Linked DNA regions of Arabidopsis thaliana. The protein of the gene in region 2 interacts with the protein of the main gene of each other region in a pairwise test. Each region holds a gene or a part of one and is shown on either strand. Other genes may lie near its edges.

Region 1 (4,219 bases), 230 kb from region 2:
AGAGAATACATTTTCAAAACTAAACATAATTAAGTGATAGATCATTTTATCACTATAATGTAGTCGCATATATGTATATATATAATTTTGTAGGATTTTTAGGTTAACTCAATTTTTAGCTCTTAGTTGTAAATTTGTCATTTTTTAATGATTTGGTAAGTATAGTAGATGAGAAATCGAAGTTGAGAACCAATTCTATCCGTTGAGTATAAAATCATCAATGGTTTTAGAAGACCGGATTGGTTTAGCTAAATCGAATCATGATTGTCAATAATAATTGGAGAGAGAAAACGTATAATGAAGTAGTATTGAATATTGTATCATGTTTGTCTTACTGTCTAATCGATCCACCCACCGATAATAATAGTATACTTTTTCTGATATAGTAAATAGTAACGATCTCTTTGCCCGTATACGATGAACCTTAATGACAAAAATACAGATCTATCAAGAAAGAACGATGTCGTTATTATCGTATATCCCATGTGCGTAGCAGACCTATCGGGATAATTTTTGATTACTGGTTATGGTTTTATTGTTGTCGTTACCGTTGGATATTTGCTGTTTTTCGTTTTATTTATTTTCTTTTGTCCATTACTATCTCTTGTGTTTGTTGCTAGTAGTAACAAGAGTTGGAGATAGCTGTCAGAGAATTTTATATAGTTGAATAATAAATACAAATATTATAACCCCAAATAAAACGGGTACATATACATTACAACATAACATAACAACGGAAGAAGACATTTGATAGCCTGTAAAGGTCATTTTACAGTGAATCCAGAAGGTTCGTATTAATCATTAAATTAAAATATAATCGGTATTTGACAAAATGAACTGAATTATAGTTGGCAATTTTATGAGGCCCATATGATGCGAAACCAACCGACGATTATACACTATACCTACAATTTTTATTGCACTGACTCGATTGATTAATCCCTAACTAAAAGTTCAAAATATTTGCATCCAACTTTATTTTCATTAGTGTGAACATCAATATAAAGAATTGAGAAGATCATTACAGGTTGTTTCAGATGATAACGACAAGTTCGTTATATATGCACTATAACTTGCTTTGTTACATATGCTATAAAGTTCATTTGCAATATATACGATTTGATTACATCAGTGTGGGATTCCTAGAGGATGAATTAAGTGTTAAAAATGAATCTATACATAGTAGTTTGCTTTGAATCCATATGAAAAAACTGTTGAGGTTTAATGTCGAAATTTCTTTATCTTTGGCTTCGGCTGCAGTCAAAATTGCCGAAAGACCACCTCGACTCCAAACCATTTTCTTGATAATTGTAAAAAAAAAAAAAAAAAAAAACATGATGTCCCATATGCGTGTCTAATAATATATATAGCCAAGAAGCATATATTTATTTAGGGGAAGAGAATGCTAAAGCATGAGTTTTGTGCTGGCTTTATGTTGTTGTAACTCTTAGAGCAACATGTATTCACTTCTAACTGAACTTTACATAATTTAAAGCATGATTTGGATTATCTAAAAAAAAGTTAGATTATGATGAATATACAAGTTTTTTTTGTTAGTGGAAAACTCTCATTTCTTCGAGTAAGCTTCTCCATACATAATTTTCATTGTCTATATATATATTGATCTATTTGTAATTGTAACTCTTGAAAGTTTGGAAAATATTTGTAATAAGAGATAAACAATGATATGGGCCGATATTTGCGAAACTGATTTCAAAGGATTCTTCTTTATGGGCCTATAGAGTTTTGGGCCTTTCTACCAAAACTTTCGCGACAAGCGATATGTTAGGGCACAAGGACAATTCGAAACCTGAGAAGAGAGCTAGAGCTTGTCAGATGTTAGGATACTCCTATCCTTGTTTCCAAACGGGATTACGGTTAACGACGGCGATGGCGCCGGAAATTCACCTGAAACCGAAGAACCCTAGAATTTTATGCCTTCATGGATTCAGAACTAGTGGTCGGATTCTCCAAGCCGGTATAGGTAAATGGCCGGACACAATTCTCCGAGATCTCGACCTCGATTTCCTTGACGCTCCTTTTCCGGCCACCGGGAAATCGGACGTCGAGCGTTTCTTTGACCCACCGTATTACGAGTGGTACCAGGCTAACAAGGTTCGTTGCAACAAAATCCTAAATTTCCTTGAATTCAGTATTGATCATTGACACTGTTAACACTATCAGAGTAAAGGTTGTTTTTTTTCTCTAGAAAACAGAGAGATTTGGTCTAAGTTTGTATACATAATTTGATTTGTGTGTGTGTGTGTTTGCAGGGGTTTAAGGAATATAGGAATTTTGAAGAGTGTTTGGCTTATATAGAGGACTACATGATAAAGAATGGACCTTTTGATGGTCTTCTTGGTTTTTCTCAGGTTTGTTTTGATTCTTTGGCGAGATTTTAGTACTGATCACTTTCATATATATCAGCAGGAGGATCGTGGACCGTTGATTCTTGATCCATTCTTGCAGGGAGCTTTTCTAACTGCAGCTATTCCTGGAATGCAAGAACAGGTACATAACTGCATAACTGATCATAATCCTGGTTCTGAGATTGAATCTGCTTATGATATTTTGAAGAATGAAACCTATTGTTAGAGTAGTTTTCTATTGTTCTGTTTTGAGCAAGTGTGTGATGTTGAAACCATTTATATGCAACAGAGAGGTTGAATCTGAATTGAAGAATGAAACATGTTGTTTTAATAGTTTGAGTAAGTCTGTGATGTTGTAAACTGTTTTGTAGGGATCGGCTCTAACTAAGGTGCCAAAAGTCAAGTTTTTAGTTATCATTTCTGGAGCGAAAATTCCAGGGTTGATGTTTGGGGAGCCTAAAGCTGCTGTTAATGCATTCTCATCTCCAGTTCGTTGCCCATCACTCCACTTCATAGGTAAACTGTTACTACGTTGCGCATGTTCTTGACTTGATTTCTCGGTTATGTTGTAATGCCAAGTTTCTGTTGTTTGAAGCTTACGTTAGTAGTGTGCCTTTAGTGTAGCCAAGATTGGCATGGGAGTGTTTAGACTAGAATCTAATCTGCAGCACTACATGTTAACGTTAGAGATTCTCTCCTACAACATTTGATATGACATAAGAGACAACTTGTTTGTAATTCTGTATCGGTTTTGCTGCAGGTGAGAGGGATTTCCTGAAGATAGAAGGTGAAGTGCTTGTAGAATCATTCGTAGAGCCAGTGGTGATCCATCATTCAGGTGGACACATTATACCAAAACTCGGTTAGTAAGCATGAAAGGCTGATCATTTAAGCTCTGATTTTTTTTGGAGAAATATGCAATTGAAATAAGTAACATAAGATCTGTCTCTTCTTAATTTACTCTAATGAGCTTATCTTTGTCTTCTGCAGATACTAAAGCTGAGGAGACAATGTTGAGTTTCTTCCAGAGCATTAGGCAGATGCTTTCTGATGAATCAGGTTCTGTAAGAAGCTTGATGTGACTGAGAGCTACTCCAGTATGGTTTACTTTAGATTAGATGATCTTGCAATTTTATAAAATTGTGAGATGTGATTATTCTTCTGGTTTAGTCTTTATCCAGGGACAATTCAATAAACGTAAATTATTAAATTTACCAACCAATATGGATTGCCCGTTCATGTAATTACAGTTTATAGAGAAGAGCCAAAGATGGTCAAATAGTTTGGTACAATTGTCTTCCTTTAAATATATGAGCAGCCAATATCAAAAACTCTATTCAAACTTTTTTCTTTGTTATAGGAAAAATGTTAGGAGAATTTAACAACAAAAAAAAAAAATGATGGAAGAACAAAAAATATGGAGGGGGGCATCAAAGAAGGTGAGTTAAATTATTGTCCTTTAGATGTATTAATGGTCAAATGGATCTCATGATAATCTATGAGTTCCACTTGTAACAAAGTTTTACTTCTTTTTCAATCTACCCCCTTATACCCTATTAACTTAGCCTTGTCGGTTGCTTTCTAGTCTTAAAAAAAAAACAAAATTTCAACTCTTTTTTTATTCTTGTATGAAATAATTGATTGAACATATCGAATTACAGATCATATGATTACCCCTCATTTCAAAATAAATATATGATAAACAGTAGACGTCGACATGGGTTGTGTAATTTCAGACTTATATGTATACCCATCATAAGTATTCTCACGCTTGCAAAGCTTTAACTGTTTAGTTTTCATGCACTTTTAACAAATCATCATCATAATCTATTTTCAACAATTTGCTTATA
Region 2 (4,114 bases):
AATTTCTCCGCTAGCTTCGGCGATGCATATTTGTGACCATCCGTTGGCCATCCAACCTAAAGAAAAACATAAACCAAACTCAATAACATTCTTGATAAATATATCTAATTAATAACTTGCTTGTCACGTTACCTCTCCAACGATAATCTTCATATCGTGAATCCCAGCCTTCTTCAACGCGTAAACAAGTGTGTCGTAATTGGCGTCAAACACGTTATCATAATTCTTTCCTTTGTCAGTCATTGTCTGACCATCACCGTCAAGAAAAGCGAACTCAACGGGAAAATGCTCGTTTAGGTAAAGACTAAGGAAAGGGTAAATGTTGACGGTGAAAGGTAAGTCGTTTTCGTGGAAGAAATTGACGATATCAAGCATCGTTTGTTTGACATCCTTGCGGAAATCACCTTCTGATGGCTTGTCGTTGGCTGATTGGTAAACTTCTGCGTTTTGTGGGATCGTGGCTTTCATTATATTGGTGTGTCCAGCTTCTTTTAACGCCTTGTGAATGTTCTTTAACGCTGGAAATGTTGTCTTCAAGAACGATCCGTTGTATGCAGACAAAAACGGCTCGTTCCCCACGGCTACGTACCTAGTGAATGAATTCTCGGTCAAATATACACCCAAAACAGCGACTTTTACCGGTTTGTAGGTATTTAGATGAATATAATGTCAAATTTATTATTATTATTAAATTTTAACAAGAAACTAAGAATATTAAAAATTAACAGGAAAAAAATTGTCTGAATAAATGAAATCATCTCATTGGTGCGATTTTGTTCAAATTGGAAATAAATAGCCAACCAAAATCGATCTATTTATCAAATCGGTTTATCATGTAGTCGATCAGATAGAATTATGGTAAAAACATGATTACAAAAAAATGAAAAAGTTTTGAAGGTTACTTGATGTCGACGCCACCCTTACGAATATACTGGGTCACGTTTTCTTTAACCCAATCTTTAGCATTATCGTAATCATCTGCGAGAGACTCAAGAAGGTTATTAGGGATTCCAACCATAACCTCCATGCCCGTACCAGCCAAAGCATTCATCGTCCATGAATCAGCGTCAAAAAGCTTCACTTTATTGATCTTATTGTCCTTAAGCATCTGAACAACAATGTTGGGATTCAACGGATGTGATGCGATATTGCCCCAATTCACACCGAAGCCTCCGACCAAACTAGCCAGGGTCAAAACGGTCATTATAACCGTCCCGACGTTAACGAGCATCGCTGCTCTTCCGGCCATATATATTGAGAAGGCGACGATGGATGATAATTAGGGTTTGTTTGATCTCGAAGATGTGTTTTTGTTTTCTTTTCTTTTGTCTGGTTGATGTTTTTTCTTCTTCCAGTCGGTAAAATTCTTTTTCGTGTCTTGGGTGGTCGTTGTAATAGGAATGTTTTTAGGTTGTTAGTGAAAGATTAATTAAGCTTAAAATAAATTTCTATTTTTAGAAAGAATTACAAGCTACAAAGAGGTGTGTATTTTTTTCGGAATCAGTTAGTTTTTTTTTTTTTGGTTAAGAGAGTATATCGCTGTTAATAATTGGTCGAATTGCTTATTAAACGAATACATCCTTGAAACAATGAGATAGCAGTTTATTAATATTAATTTTTGGTATATAAATCAGTCTGAACTCAAAATATGTGATTAGCTACTATTTTCATTGAAGATCCACAAATTATTAACGGTTTGGTTCTACACATAAAAAAAAAAATTCGTGGACCAAAGAAAAAAAAAACAGTCCAAAGCTTCAAAATTTTTGTCTGCAAAGCCAATAGTGGGGCCCAGGTTTTTAGATATATGGGACCCTTAAAAGTAGCATGAAAGCCACGTGGCAGAATCTCTACAGAGTAAATGCCACAAGTCTTTCTTCTTCTTCTTCTTCCCTTCACCAATAAGGCAATAATCCTTCTTCTTCTTTCTAAAATCCCTAAATTACAAATTGTTAAGAACTTGGACAATTCTATTTCTAGGGTTTGTGAGATTCGTTCGGACTCTAATGGGGAAGAAACGAAAATCCGAGGCTACGCGGCTCGATGAGGTTGATCGAACCATGTATGGCGCGTTTCGAGGCGCTGCTAATTCGCTCTCGCAGCTCTATACACATGCCATGAATCACCAACGCGTTTCTTTCCTCGCCGGTGAACGTCGCGGAATGGTCTCTGCTCTCTCTCTCTTGACCTTGTTTTATATCCAGTTTCGATTTTTGGCTTCTGGGTTCGATAGATAGAAACATAGTTGAAAAGTTTTCTTCTCGTTGCTTGTTTTGATGTTGGTTGACTATCTTGAATCGTAAATTGAGTGCTTATGTGTTGTTGGGTTTCTGTTTGCTCTCGAGATTTTAGAGTCACAGAATGAATCATGGATATTCAATGTTGTTTCTTATGTGTTGTTTTGGTAAAGTTGATCTCTTTGGCTTGTTTATGTTCGATTGATTGTCGTACGTGAGTTAATTGGAGACACACTCTGAAATTGGTTATGATCTATGAAGCTAGTTTAGATATGAGGCTAAGCAAGCAGTCTTACTGATAAAAGTTGTGGCCTTTTGATCTTGAAGTGCTTACTTTTGTTTTTTACTAGATTGATGAACTAGGATGGCTGTTCTCTTTTGGTGGCAGCTTGACGTTCTTGGCGTCATTCAATAGTGATTCATGACATTGTAGTATGAGATTTGAGGTTTGATTGGTCCATTGAGTTTTACTTTTTTCTTTCTTTTTACAGGAGAAGCTTTACCAATGGATTGTGAGACAAGAAGAACAAGGAACTAGAGTATCCACAGCTGATATTACTACCTACTTACAGGTACTTTCCTTTGAAAACAGTATCTCGTTTCTGATTACGCTCCTGCTATGTAATTGGAATTCAGATTGATTATACCTCTCTTGACTAGCTACGCATTAAAGTCCCAACGATCTTTAGTTTGATCTGAAAGTTATTCGTGTTTACCTTTTAAAACCATATATGCAGAATGCGCTTGAATATGAACCTGAGGAGACGTCGATACCACTCCCCATGCAAGAGTTTTATCAGCACCAATTCGCTCCACCAAACGTAAATACATCAGTAGCTCATGTTCCTTCAAGTCACATAGCACAACAACAACATTATGATTGTAACCAAGAGAAACTCTTGATTCCACCAAATGGTCTCTCAAGTCCGGTTCGAAGAACCCTTCAGGACTTCAACTTGTGTGAGGCTGAGTCTGGTAATAATAACTACAATCCCAACTCTACAGGTGAACACTTATCTTACTGAATAAAATCTTGTTTCATTTGCCGAAAGATGAAAAACATAAATCATTCCATTGTAAAGTCTCAATTGTTTGTGGTAAAGTATTGTCTCATGTAATACACAAAACACTTTTTCCTAATCTTTCAAAGAAGCTGGATGAATGTGAATTGACCCTTAAGATAGACAAATCTCTGATAGTGATTTTGTCGATAGGCGATATGATGATTTCATGTCTTGTCTAAAGCTCTCAAGACTTAAATGTAGACTTGTTAACAGTGATGAAAGAGAGACAAAGACTAATGATCAAAATTGAAGCCAAAACCTTCCATGTGCTCTCATGGTCCCTCTTTCAATTCAACTTGTCTGCAAAAACATTGCCCTGATGTTGATCTTCGCCGAGCTACGTGGTTTATGCTAATCCTCAGAAGAAACTTCTCGTTCAAAAATCTATGGACAGATAAAAACAAAAGTTACAGAATCACACTTTCTTCTTCTTTTGGTCATGGTGTTATCTGTACTAACAAGACATTCATCAAGGTGGTTGTCTGGAGATTGTCACTACATCTTGGCACAATGACATTTTGGCTGATTTCTATCTAGATTTTTTCCAAATTTTGTGTCTTTTTTTATTTGCCACGGTGTTTTCAAACGTAAAAGTCTAATCAACTCATCTAGCTAATCATATAAACTAGAGCTATAATAAAATTTGAAAGTGTTCGAAACAACTTGTCACTAAGAATTTATAAATAATTAGGTCCACACATAATTATTTCAGGAGTCAGGTCATAGGTCCATATACATTTCAATGGGGTATCAAAACGGTCATAATAAAATAAAGTTCAAACTTTTTAGTCCATAAATCTTATCGATCAAATC

The links.
Region 1: the proteins of AT5G64780 (region 2) and AT5G65400 interact in a two-hybrid assay, tested with the Arabidopsis thaliana proteins (one large-scale study listed by BioGRID).

Annotation. Positions count from the first base shown.
Region 1 is NC_003076.8:26,129,612-26,133,830, forward strand, and holds AT5G65400 (alpha/beta-Hydrolases superfamily protein), read left to right. Parts: upstream 1-1,671; 5' UTR 1,672-1,782; coding exon 1,783-2,115; intron 2,116-2,273; coding exon 2,274-2,372; intron 2,373-2,469; coding exon 2,470-2,511; intron 2,512-2,740; coding exon 2,741-2,885; intron 2,886-3,129; coding exon 3,130-3,231; intron 3,232-3,359; coding exon 3,360-3,451; 3' UTR 3,452-3,689; downstream 3,690-4,219.
Region 2 is NC_003076.8:25,899,848-25,903,961, reverse strand, and holds AT5G64780 (holocarboxylase synthetase), read left to right. Parts: upstream 1-1,834; 5' UTR 1,835-2,006; coding exon 2,007-2,165; intron 2,166-2,728; coding exon 2,729-2,809; intron 2,810-2,974; coding exon 2,975-3,262; 3' UTR 3,263-3,550; downstream 3,551-4,114. Other genes in the region: AT5G64790 (O-Glycosyl hydrolases family 17 protein), read right to left, coding at 1-56, 133-589, 903-1,249.